Linked DNA regions of Caenorhabditis elegans. The protein of the gene in region 1 purifies or fractionates together with the protein of each later gene. This does not show direct contact. Each region holds a gene or a part of one and is shown on either strand. Other genes may lie near its edges. The genes, in order: F59B1.8 and atrn-1.

Evidence for each region.
Region 2: the proteins of F59B1.8 (region 1) and atrn-1 fractionate together in Caenorhabditis elegans (co-fractionation; one large-scale study listed by BioGRID). This does not show direct contact.

The regions. Positions count from the first base shown.
Region 1 is NC_003283.11:3,641,265-3,646,366, reverse strand, and holds F59B1.8 (CHK kinase-like domain-containing protein), read left to right. Parts: upstream 1-2,123; 5' UTR 2,124-2,129; coding exon 2,130-2,285; intron 2,286-2,823; coding exon 2,824-3,457; intron 3,458-3,875; coding exon 3,876-3,979; intron 3,980-4,031; coding exon 4,032-4,193; intron 4,194-4,251; coding exon 4,252-4,458; 3' UTR 4,459-4,509; downstream 4,510-5,102. Other genes in the region: F59B1.10 (CHK kinase-like domain-containing protein), read left to right, coding at 982-1,085, 1,140-1,301, 1,349-1,555.
Region 2 is NC_003284.9:14,709,828-14,717,610, reverse strand, and holds the start of atrn-1 (CUB domain-containing protein), read right to left. Parts: upstream 6,033-7,783; 5' UTR 6,018-6,032; coding exon 5,904-6,017; intron 5,313-5,903; coding exon 5,200-5,312; intron 5,134-5,199; coding exon 5,046-5,133; intron 4,998-5,045; coding exon 4,885-4,997; intron 4,838-4,884; coding exon 4,724-4,837; intron 4,662-4,723; coding exon 4,217-4,661; intron 4,168-4,216; coding exon 3,909-4,167; intron 3,860-3,908; coding exon 3,774-3,859; intron 3,429-3,773; coding exon 3,185-3,428; intron 3,133-3,184; coding exon 2,989-3,132; intron 2,942-2,988; coding exon 2,758-2,941; intron 2,703-2,757; coding exon 2,579-2,702; intron 2,533-2,578; coding exon 2,373-2,532; intron 1,706-2,372; coding exon 1,418-1,705; intron 1,366-1,417; coding exon 1,192-1,365; intron 1,140-1,191; coding exon 975-1,139; intron 920-974; coding exon 776-919; intron 732-775; coding exon 634-731; intron 580-633; coding exon 364-579; intron 314-363; and 4 more.

The DNA.
Region 1 (5,102 bases):
ATGTATGAAACATGAAGTGGCTTGTAGTTTGAAGTTTGTAGTTTGTAGTTTGTAGTTTGTAGTTTGTAGTTTGTAGTTTGTAGTTGTTTGCAGTTTGTAGATAGTAATCCGTGCCGAGTGTTTTTTATAATTTCAAATCGTTTCTGTTACAGCGATTTCCGATATCAGAGTTAATATGCTATGTATGAAACATGGAGTAGCTTGTAGTTTGTAGTTTGTAGCTTGTAGATTTTAGTTTGTAGTTTGTAGTTTGTAGTTTGTAGTTTGTAGTTTGTAGTCGGCACCGATCGTTAAAGCGATTTTCGATATCAGAATATGCTATGTATGAAACATGAAGTGGCTTGTAGTTTGAAGTTTGTAGTTTGTAGTTTGTAGTTTGTAGTTTGTAGTTTGTAGTTTGTAGTTTGTAGTTGTTTGCAGTTTGTAGATAGTAATCCGTGCCGAGTGTTTTTTATAATTTCAAATCGTTTCTGTTACAGCGATTTCCGATATCAGAGTTAATATGCTATGTATGAAACATGGAGTAGCTTGTAGTTTGTAGTTTGTAGCTTGTAGATTTTAGTTTGTAGTTTGTAGTTTGTAGTTTGTAGTTTGTAGTTTGCAGTTTGTAGATAGTATTTGGTGCCGAGTGTTTTTTATGATTTCAAATCGTTTCTGTTACAGCGATTTTCGATATCAGAGTTAATATGTGATTTGTAAAACATTGAACAGCTTGTAGCCTGTAGTTTGTAGTTTGTAGTTTGTAGTTTGCAGTTTGTAGGTTGTAGTCGGTATCGAGTGTATTAATAATTTCGAATCATTTCTGTTGAAGCAATTTTCGATATCAGAGTTAATATGCGCATGTGTGAAACATGAAGTAGTATGCAGTTTTTAGTTTTTAGTTTGTAGTTTGTAGTTTTTGTAGTTTGTAGTTTTTGTAGTTTGTAGTTTTTGTAGTTTGTAGTTTGTAGTGTTTCAAAGATCAAGCGTGATATTTTCCAGGAATTAAACAAAACGTGTTGTGTCACGGAGATTTATGGGCTGCCAACTTTCTGTGGACCGAAAATAATGGAGTTTTCTGTGCCACCAGAATTGTGGACTATCAGGTATATTTATTTGACAACTATAAATATTTTCCACTAAAACCTGCACATTTTCAGATGTCCCATCTAGGAAATCCAGCAGAAGACCTGGTGCGTCTCCTGGTCTCAACAATTACCGGAGCCGATCGTCAAGCCCATTGGCAGCAGATTTTGGAGCAATTTTATTCGTATTTTTTGAATGAACTTGGCTCGGGTGAAGCTCCGTACACTTTGGAGCAGGTTAGTTTTTGAGAGCAATTTTTTTATTGAAAATAAATTTTTTTCAGCTGAAGCTCTCTTTCAAGCTCTATTTTCCAGTTGGAGCATTGGCTCTTCTTCCATTGTTTGGGCCGGCTGTGGACGCGAAATTGGAGGGGATGGATTCTGAAAAAGCTGAAAAATGTCGTCACGTAGTTATTGAAAAAGTTGCATGTCTACTGGATGACCTGGAAAAGTACCATAAATTTTCCAAAAGATATTTTCAAGAAAAATAGTTTCGTCTATTTTTTTCGAAAATATTTTGTTGCGAACTGCAAATAAAATCTGTGAAATAAATAATTTATTTATTGTTTTCTTCTTGTTTTATTCAATTAAAAAAATTTAATTCATTTTCGAAAAAAATTGCCCAATTTGCCTTTTGTTTTTACAATACCAGATTTTTTTAAAAATTGGTTCCATTTTTTTTTAATTTTGAAATGTATAGAAAACGTATTTTATAGCGTTCATTTATTGCACAACAGTTTGTAGATCAAACTATCAATCACACATTTTCCACCCGCCGTCTCGTTAAAATGACGTCACTCACACACACAAGGCGGGAGGGAAAGAGAGAGGGTGTCACAAAACACAGTGACTACACAATGGGGTCACAAAGTGTGGCGGTTATATAAATAGTGCGTTCGTTTTTTTTTTGAATTCAAGTGTTTCCGTTTTTGTCCTGTCAAATGTGTTATTTCCATTGATTTCTTACACAATTTATTTCCAAGAATTTTTTAAGTTTGTCTTTTTATTATAGCTTAATAAAAGTTTTTATTTTTAAAAATCTATTAAAATAATTTTCAGCTAAAAATGTCTACAAAACCATTGTCAATTTTGCAGCCAGGTACTGGATTATTCAATACCCATGTGACTTTAGAAGATGTGAATAAAGCTATCAAAGAGCAAATGAGCACTGAAAGTGAGCTCACGGCGGAGAGCAAAATGGAGGTTATTGGGGAGGGTAATGTAAGTTTTTTATTCAATTTTTTTAAACAAAAAAACATGTTTTTTTTTTCAACTTGAAAACTGGATTTTTATATGAATTTGTAAAATAGAAATATTATAGTTTTCAATTTTTCGATTTTCCGGAAAATAAAAAAAATTGAAAACAAAAAGTTTCAAAAAATTACCATAAACCATAAAATTTAATTTTTAATCAGCTTTTGCTTTTTTAAATTTTTTTTTGTTAAAGACGAAAATAAACCAAAATGTTAAGATGTTTTTCGGAATATTTGGAAAAGAAATAAAAAAATCTTTGGACGACAGCAAGTTTTCAAAAAAAAAATCAGTTTGCGACCCAATATGAAAAATATGTACCTTCTTGTTATAAAAATTTTAAAATTGAACGCAAATAGCGCCAACCAATCAGTGATATAAGCCACGCCCTTTGCTTATCACTGATTGGTCAGCGACTTTTGCGCAGTGTTTTTGTGCTCTAGCTAGTTTTTATTTGGGGAGATAATGAGAGATAAGCAGTAAAAAAATCAAGCTTCCCATTTTTCAGGGCTTCTCCTCTTGCGTGATCCTAATCACCTGTCACTGGACCATTCCCTCGTCCCATCTTCCCAAGAAGCTAATTCTGAAAATCGTTTCATTCGTTCATGTGCAGGGCCTTCTGAATAAGTCCAATGAAGAAGGGAATTCAGTAATGTCGCCGGAAGAAGAAGCCCATGTGCATGCACATTTCGAGAAGTCCTGTCAAAAAGGGCATAACTTGGAAGTAGAGTTCTGCGAAGCTTTCGGACATTTGGAGGGGCTTCTCCTTCCCAAAGTATTCTTCTCGCAGAAATTCGAGGAGGACAACCCGAATAAGGGATTTGTTGGAATGGAGTTCGTTGAAGGTTCAGTCGTCCGGCACTGTTATGAAAATGTTACTGTAGATGAGCTCCAGCCAATTTTGAAGGCTCTTGCAAGGCTCCAGGCGTTGAGTTTGAGCACCGAAAGCTGCAGAAATTTAGATAATGGAGAAGCCTTTGAAGAGAGTTTAATGGATATGTTGTCCGAAGATGGCCTGAAAGGGATTTTCGATCAAAGCCGGAATATTGACCAGAAATTGAGTGAAAAAGTTGAACGGATTGAGCAGAACCACAAGGAGATTCTGAATTTGGAGACTGTTCTCAATTTGAATAAAGTTGTAGGTAAGAGTGAATTTTTAAAAAATTTCCAAATGTAATTTTTACCGTAGCTTTGAAAATGTTAAAAAAACATTTCGATTTTCTTTTTTGAAAACCATAATTTTTTTACAAACACTGCAACTTGTGATCAAATTTTCTCCTCTTATTTATGTACATTTCTAAAGATTTTGAAAGAAAAAGGTCTCGCAACGAAAATATATCCCATGTTGAAAATAGTTTCTCGCGGCGAAAATTGGATCTTGCCACAATAAAGGATCTCGCCAAAAGTTGAAAAATAAATTACCCGCTATCACCCTCCGTGGTATTTTTTTGTAGGTTGCAAGTTGTAGTTTGTAGTTTGTGGTCTGTAGTTTGTAGTTTGTAGTTTTTACATTGTAGTTCTTTTTTGTTATGTTTCAGAGGTCTAACTTTATATTTTCAGGAATCGACCAAAAAGTTATCTGCCATGGAGATTTATGGGCTGCCAATATTTTGTGGACCCAGACGGATGGAGGTTTTATTGCCGACAAAGTTTTGGATTATCAGGTAGAAAAAATTGATTTAATGTCGAAAATGTTCAAAAAAATGAATTTTTTAGGAATCTCACATGGGAAATCCAGCTGAAGATTTGGTGCGTCTCCTCGTCTCAACTATTTCCGGAGCCGACCGTCAATCTCACTGGGAGCACATTTTGGAGCAATTTTACACTTATTTCACGGACGAGATAGGCTCCAACAATGCTCCATACACTCTTGAACAGGTAATTTTTTGAACCATTTTTTTGGAAATTAAAAATTCTAAAACTGAAAATTTTTCAGCTCAAGACCTCTTTCAAACTGTATTTCCCAGTTGGAGCATTGACACTGATCTCCTTGTTCGGGCCGGCTGTTGACATGAAATTGCAGGGAATGGAGTCTGGAAAAGCTGAAAATTACAGACGGATTGTCATCGAAAAAGTGGATTGTCTGTTGGATGATGTGCTCAATTTTCATGATTTCAACAAGAAGTTCACTGGAAAAAATTAAAAATTTTTGCTTGATATAGTCATTTACTATATATAAAGCGCTTATTCCGTTTGTCCATAGTTTGTAGTCTATGTAGTCTTTGTATTCTGCGAAGTTTTAGCTTCTGGAGGGATAGTGAGTTGGGGTTAGTGTAGGGATATAGTCGGGGTACTGTAGTGGTACAATGGTGGTACGGTAGGAGTACTGTATGATTACGGTAGTTTCAGAAAAATTGGTTTTCAGCTCCAGAAGTCGGGGGCCGCGCTGGAGGTGCGGTCCACGGCTGGTTGGAAAATAAATTGATTCATGTAACTTGAGGAATTCTATGCATTTGTCAATTTTCTGGAATTAGATAAAAGCGTAATTTAGGCTAACTTGGCTTAGGCCTAGGCTTGGGCTTATGCTCAGGCTCAGACTTAGGTTTAGGCTCAGGCTCAGGCTTAGGCTTAGGCAAGCCAGAATTTTCTGAAAATCGGAAAAATATAAATTAAGAACAAAATCTTCAATATTATTAAACCTAACAATGAAACTATAAACATTTAAAAATGCATTTGCCTGAAAAATTTGGTCAAATTCGGAAACTGGATGAAAATTTATAAAAAGGCCGGAAACGACGTTGAATATTAGCGGAATTGGCATAAAAAATTTCCTTGGAGCCAATTTTT
Region 2 (7,783 bases), on another chromosome or scaffold:
AGAAATGGGTTCCAAAAAAAACTTCTATTTTTTTCAGTTTTCATTTTTTTGTAAAAGCTTACATGCTCAATTTCATCTATCCGCCGCTGATTCCTGCGATAAGCTTCTATCCTAACTTTGATCATCCACAGCAGACCGGCAACGACTAGAAGGACAATGAAGCATCTGGAATTTCGTTTTCTAGGAAACCATTTAAAATAGTTTTCAAAGCTTACGCTGCAAATATCACGAAAAACAGGACCCAGTTGATCGGCGGTGATTGTGCAAAACTGACAACAATTTGAACTGGCGTGTTGAAGTTGTATACTCGAACCTGAACAACATAAATGTGTAAACTTCTTAATGGTATTGCAATTAACTTACGAAAAAGGTAGTGTTCGAATCTGGACCAAATGGATATCCCTTATCTGATGCCACATAGACACGTCGGAATCCTTTCGAGTCACAAATTGTATCCACCATCATGGCTTGAGACTTATCCGCGAGCCCGTTCACATAAGACGAGGTCATGTTCAAAGCAACAAGTGCGTTACCCTTTGGAGATTCACAGCTGATTTGGAATGTGACGTCAGTGTCTTTCTGAAAAGAACAAAATTATAATTTATCAAATAAACATGACAAGTTAAGATGTACCTTATATGGAACACTGTATAGGTAAATTTCACTCGTGTGATTATCCTTATCGTCGCTTCTCAACTTGAAGGTGAATATGAAGTCTACGGCTAGCTCATCTGAAATTTGAACTTGAATTTCATTAAACCATAAAACAACTTACAGAAACATGGTGTTCCATTTCTCGGATTGCCCACATATTTCGCTTCACATTTATCACAGCGGTCTCCAGTGACTCCTTTAGTTTTGCAGAAGCATTGGCCAGACACTGGGTCACACATATCAGCTTGATGATGGCAATCGCATGCTAGAAATAATAATTATAATTGATCATTGTTGAAATTTTGATTCAATGTTCTTACGTGAACAAACTCCTCCGTTTCTGGCGTCGCCGTAAAAACCTGGAGCACATCGCTCACAGTGAGCACCGGTGGTGTGGTTTTGACAACTTTGGCATTTTTCAATTGTGACCGGAGGGAAGGAACCAACAGAAGTGAAGCACGTAGAGTGTCCGTTGCATTGGCACGCTGAAAAGTTGGGTTTTAATGAAATCAATTAACCAATGTTATCAAAACTTACCAGGGCAGTCTATAAAATACCAGGTACTGTTTTCTGGTTTTGGCTCTAACGGGCCAGTTGATGTACCACGGATGCAAAGTCCGAGACCAGTCTTGGAGTCGTCTGCAAGCCATCCACATCCTGGATCTCTCTGGCATTCTCCGCAAGTCTTGTGCTCTTCGCAAACAACTGACTCTGAAACGCCGAATAAAAATCGGAATGCAAACGCTTCAAAGAGGTTACTCACCAGCTTGACAAACTCGATTGATAACACTTCCTGAGCCAGATGTAACCCACGAGTGGCATTGTCCATAAGCGAATGACAGCGTGTATGCTTCCAAGTTGATGCATCTATTCGTGCTCGGACACCACATGCACTGCTCAAGATCGGTGCAATCGCTGCAGTTGTTCCGCTGAGCACAAGGCATTGGGCATTCGGTAGCGTTACGGAAGAAAGATGGGAAATGCGAAGGTGAGAGAAACTTGTTGCGATCAGCAAGAACTGACTTGGTCTCATATTCGTAGACGACGGCAACTGAAAATAAAATTGAATTGTTAAAAGTTTGTGATTCCAAGTGTTGGGCGGTTTTTTTTCAAATCAATAACTGTCCTATTTATTGAAAAATACCAAATTAAACAGTGTTTTTTAGTTAATTCAAAAAAAAAAACTCAAAATAAAAACATTGTGTGGCGTGTACTTTTTCTCGTCCACTCACGGGAGTGGAAGGCAAAAATCTGAACCCAACCAATATCAGGCCGCCGACATCTCACGGGTTCCGCACGCCGCTATGTTTAACTCGCAGCGGGCGGAGACAGCTCGCCACGCCCACAGCGAGTTAAACGCAGCGGCGCGCGGAACCCGTGACATGTCGGCGGCCTGATATTGGTTGGGATCCCGATTTTTGCCTTTTCTCCGTGAGTGGACAAGAAAAAAGGCGGGGCCTAAATATTAGGTTTTCTGCAGTACACGCCTTGCAGTTTTTTTTATTTTGAGTGTAAAACTCACTTGTTTCTGGCAGGTGATTATTTCATGCACTATATAATACATAGAAACATGTTCGTTCTGTCAAACTTTTCTCAAAAATGTTTCTCCGGTTTTTATCAAAGTATATATAAAGTTTTCATAAAATTGTGCTTGGCCTCATTTTGTAAGCTCTCAGTTCTCTAGTTTATTCCTCGTGTATATCATACAAAAAACATACTCAAATCCTCCTTGCTCACACAAGGCGATGCTTTATCAATTGGGTACCAAGTGCAGTGTGGTGAGATTCTACAGCTACCACAGTTGTTCTCCATATTGCATGGACGCATTGTTGCAACACTATTTCTTTGCGGGCACTTCTCCCAGGATGTTAGCATGCCCTGAAACGATCGCATAATTTACTAGTCAACCGAAAATTTTTCTCACCGGTCCATCCACACACTCTTGCTCATTTGGAAGACATTGCTCTCCTGAGGAGCACCATCCGCATCCGGATTTAGAGGCGCAAGAGACACAATCCGTTTGCTCTTCACACGTTTTCAGAGCGAGTCTGAAAATGTAAAGCTTGCAAGTTGAAATTCGATGTTTTTTTTTTCAATTTTTACCTTAATGGTGTATTTGTGCATTCATCAAAAGATTTAGGTGTCGATGATTTAATCATTGAGGCGAACGATGATTTGTAGGAGACTGTTGGGTCAAATGGAACGCAGGAACTGTCGACGAAAACGCATTTTGTGCCATCGGTGATTAGACGACATTCATCAGGTCTTGTAGCTGATGAGCATTTTGCTAAAATAATAAACTTGAACACTTGAGTTGCTTTAAGTTAAAAGTACCTGGACTCAATGTCCAAACGTCGCTCTTCATTTTTCCGTTGAAACCACCAAGAGCATAAAGCTTCTGGCCGATAACATGAACAGAATGGCCAAATCTTTTCAAATCCACTGGAGCAGTTGACATGTTGGACCATTGCTTACAAGCTGAAAAATTAAAAGTAGACGGCTTAAAAATTGCATCACTCAATTGACTCACCAACGTCATAGGATTGCACCATATTTGAAAAGCATTCGCTTTTACTTCCCGCCGTCACATTCGATCCTCGACCTCCAACGACTACCATCAAGCCATTAAGGTATGCAGCAGCATGAAGATATAGTTGAACTCCAGACTGTGGAAGATTCGACCATTTCTTGGTAGATGTGTCAAATTGCATCAAGCTGTCGGTGATGGTGTTGTTCCACATGCTACCACCATAAACCAGAATTGCAGTGGCTCCCTGAAATGAAATGATTTTCCGAATGGTATTGGAATTGTTTTACTAAAAGTTTTGAATTATGTACAAAATCTAAGTTATCCTCGTAAAACTGTCTTACGTCTAGTAATAATTCAACAAGCAGCCGACATTATGCTGTCATCAAAATTTGTTAAAATATGTGTAGCACTAGCGAGGTATCGGCTGTCAGTTTTGGCAAAAATATTGGGGGTTCACAATTGTTAAAAATCAAAAAAAAAACATCTAACCCTGTTTTTAAATACCTTCAATGACGTCACTACGACATCGCATTTTTTAAAACCAAACTCAGTTAATTAACTCAAATTAGTAGGACTCTAAAAAACTTACTGTTGGTGTTGTGTATTCCACTGCGGAATGTTTAAACCTTCCGTAAACATGATCGCTTGTGTTGGCCACCGTCCATTCTTCGGTTTCTGAAAGCATTTTTTTTGTTTTTTCCGACTTCTTTTTTTGTTTCCTTACCAAAATTATAAATCTGCACGTGATGCATAAAGCCAAACAGTGGGTTATAGCCAAATATCACAAACATCTCGGATCTAATCACATGAGCTGAGTGACCTGCAACTGCGAATGGCGCAGCAATAATTGTCTCATTCTTGTGAATCTGTTGAGCCCATTTTTTAGAGCCCATGTCAAAGATCCAAAGCTCGTTTGTTGCGGCTTGTGTCGTTTGGTGACGGACTTGGGTTTTTGTAACTCCTCCGAACATGTACAGCTTGTTCTGAATTCAAAAAAATTGGTAGAGAAGTCTCGAAATAGAATGTACAAACCTTATACTTGACAACTGTGTGATCAAAGCGAGGTTTCGGCATATCTCCGGACACCTCCACCTTACTCCAAATCCGACTTGTCACGTTGTACACGTCAATGTTATTCGGATCAGAGCTTCCATCGAAAAACTCTCCACCGATGCTCCAAACAACATCATCGATAGCGATTGACGCGTGGGAAGCTTTTCCGGTTGGTGCATTGTTAGTCGGGTGAATCAGGTCCCACACCGATGAAGACACTGGCATTTGACAGGTTTCTCCATGAACCCTTGCCGAGAGACATTCACATCTTCCATCAACACATTGACCTTCATGACACGGACTTTCCGTGGATTTTCCGCTGAGTTGGCAGACTTGATACTCACAGTTGAGACCTTTGTATCCATCTTCGCAATCACACTTTCCATTCAGGCAGCTTCCATGGTTTGAACAGTTATACGCACAGCTGCAAATTCACGTTTAAAAACTTCAACAATCTCAACTTCAATAAATATGTCGAAAACTCACCGATTTGACTCGTATGAAACATTGAACCCGTTTAAATTAATGGCTAAGTCACTGAAAAAGTGCACCAGTGCTTTACCAGAAGCCGCAGTGAACTCTTGTGATGGTTGTTCTCCGCTGAAATATTTCATTTTCACATAAAATTTTAAAATTTCAAAACCAACCATAGTGCGGCAAGCTGCTTTCCATAAACACTATCACCATCGTAAATATACAAATAATCCCAGCCGCACTCGGTGAAAAAGCTGTTTATCCGAATTTTGAGTGGAGTAGCGCTCTGCAAAATTTAAATGTTATAGAACATCAATCTATCATCAACACATACATTTTCCGGTTCAATGAGCCATGTGCATTTTGCTGAAGGGCTATAATCCAGAGGTCCATCCGAAATGTAGCTCGCGTTGTCAGATATTCTAAAGAAATTCAACGTTTTTTTTTCTTTCGTTTTTTGTTTGAAATAAAGCTTAAATGTTGCTCACCGTATCCGCCCAAAACAGTGATCGCACTGTGAACCGTACCATCCTTTCGAACAAACACAGGCCTTGTTCAAGCAGACGCCGTTGTAACATGGTTTATCGCATGATGATAATGACTGAAAATTTTTGGTTGTGGGAATTTGTTAAGCTTTGAGATGTTATCGCTAAAAGTCCCTGAGGGAATATTTTGGAAAATGTTATCAACATTTTTTTGATAATAAACAAAATCAACACCACTAGTTTTTCGAATTTTGAAAGGCTTCAAATTTTTCCAATTGCTCTTTCAAAGTCAGAAAATGGCTCAAAAAGACCAAATTTTGTAATGATTTTTCTTGATTTTTTCAAAAAATTTTTTATCATTTTTGAAGTTAACTGAAGCTGCGGCCGTAATTTATATTTTGTTGGACACTTTTCAGATGTTTATTTAGTGCATGAAGTACGTTTTTAGGCGATACATTTACATACATATTTGATTACTTTTGTGTAAATATTGATTAAAAATGTACCGAAATTCACAAAAAATGGTTATAAACCCTGCAAAAGTATGCGAAATAGAAACAAAAACATTTCTGGTCATTGCAACACGGAGAAGTTGATAATTGTTTTTGAGGAATTTCAAATAGATTCACGATGAAATTCAGTCTTTTTTGTCAATTTTGAGTCAAGAAAATTAACTACTCCGCATTTTTTTTAAAGTTTCAACCTACCTTTTCGAATTCAAAATTTGCATGATTTGTTAGTGTGTGAACTCGGGAGAATACTTGAAAAAGGAGGAAAACTCGAAATATAAAGCATGGGAATACTTCCCTTGCTGAAATCATCACGTGCACATCGGTCTGTAAAAAAGGTTTCATTAGAATAAACTTGTCGAAAATAAGCAAAAATTGTCGCAGTAGAGAAAAAGGAACAACACTATAAGCATGACTAATTTGGAAGAAGACACGTCGTCGTAGAGGAAGAAAAAGGCGATGATGATGACGACAATAATGAATGAAAAGAGGCACTGCGAACAGAATGAATCGATCGATAGTACGCTTGCGCGAAGAGATGCGGAGAAGGAGTGTGCCGCAAGAAGAGAACGCAGAGAGAAGCGACGTTAGGTGGGTAAACTAGGTAGACAACACCAATTTGCTTTTAAACGTTCGCGAAATGAGTCAGTGTGTCTTCGCTTTTGGTTTAATTCGAGCGGTTCTTTTTTTTTAACCAACGCAGTTTCTTCAGCTTTTAATAGGTCACAAATGTTGGGTGTGAGGCGGGTGGTTTTTGATCGTCACATTCTAAGAAGCTGTAAATTTCTTTTTTTTTTAAATTAAATCAAAGTACATAGCTTTGGTCAATGTGAAAATAAATTCAAACCATTTATGAAATTATTCATTGAAAATAACCGGGAAAATAGTGGAGAGCAACTGAGTCCCCAAAAATGATTAAAATCAAAAAAGATTTATGGTTAGCAACTATAATTTTAATCAGTCACTGAAATAAGTAACGGCTTGTTTTTTTCTACGTGTCAGTATTTCAGTAGTATCACAAACTTATAATTTTCACATTGGGAAAAAATTGGAGTGAAAAATAATTTAATACTAAAGTGTTTGAAATCTGACAATACTTTTCGCTCACATTTTGCGTCCTGTTTTGTAACTGTGATTTTTTTTCTAGAAAAAACATGGTATATTATAGTTATTATCAACCAATGAAAACAAGGCATTAGAAATAAAATAAAAATATCGAAAAATATTTTGGAAAGTGACCAAGAAACATTGTCAATTTATATGTAAATGGAGTGTTCGAAATTATAATTTTAAAGAAGTAGGCAGGTAATTTTTTTTGTGATTTTGAGAATGAATTAGGCATTCAAAAAAAAACTGGAAAGAAGTAAAAATAATAACCTTTTTTAAAACCCATGTTTTGAAAAAAGATACTGGTGTAATGTTTCCGAGCATTTTTAAAAAACAATCCAATTTTGTTTTATTTATTTTTTCGTTTCGTAAAAAGTATTTCATCTATAGACTAAAAAATCTGAAATTAGCAGACCGAAAAATGTTTGTATTATCACTATTCTTACAAAGTAAAAACCACCACTATCACCCAAAAAATTCTTTATTGAGGGCGTTTTTAAAATCAATAGCTAAATATTAATGTGAAAATGATGTTGTATTGAATTTTATCAGTTGATACCTAATCGAGAAACGCCCTGTTAAAATGCAAAATTATTGTAAGGCATTCCAAAAAAAAAGCTGCTGGCACTGACCAAAACAGTATTGCTACAAGGAAACATTTCGAGGTCCCTCCAAACTTAACACAAACTGAAATAGCTTCCGCTATTTCTGCACAATGCCTCTGCAAATAGTCTGTTCAAAAAATGTTCGAAAGAGCGGAAATCAAGTTTTGGCAGTCGTTTTTCGATTCAAACTATGAGCATAGTAAGCAAACAGGCGGCTTTTTTTGGGTGGAAACGGAACAGAAAGAACAGAAAAATCAGCGTTAATTCTTAGTTTCTCAATGATCTTACGTTTTGCAACGCATGTAATCTAGTTCTCAAGGTTATTCATCTCTCTCAAAGTTCCTACTTTTCTACTTTCTTTCCGCA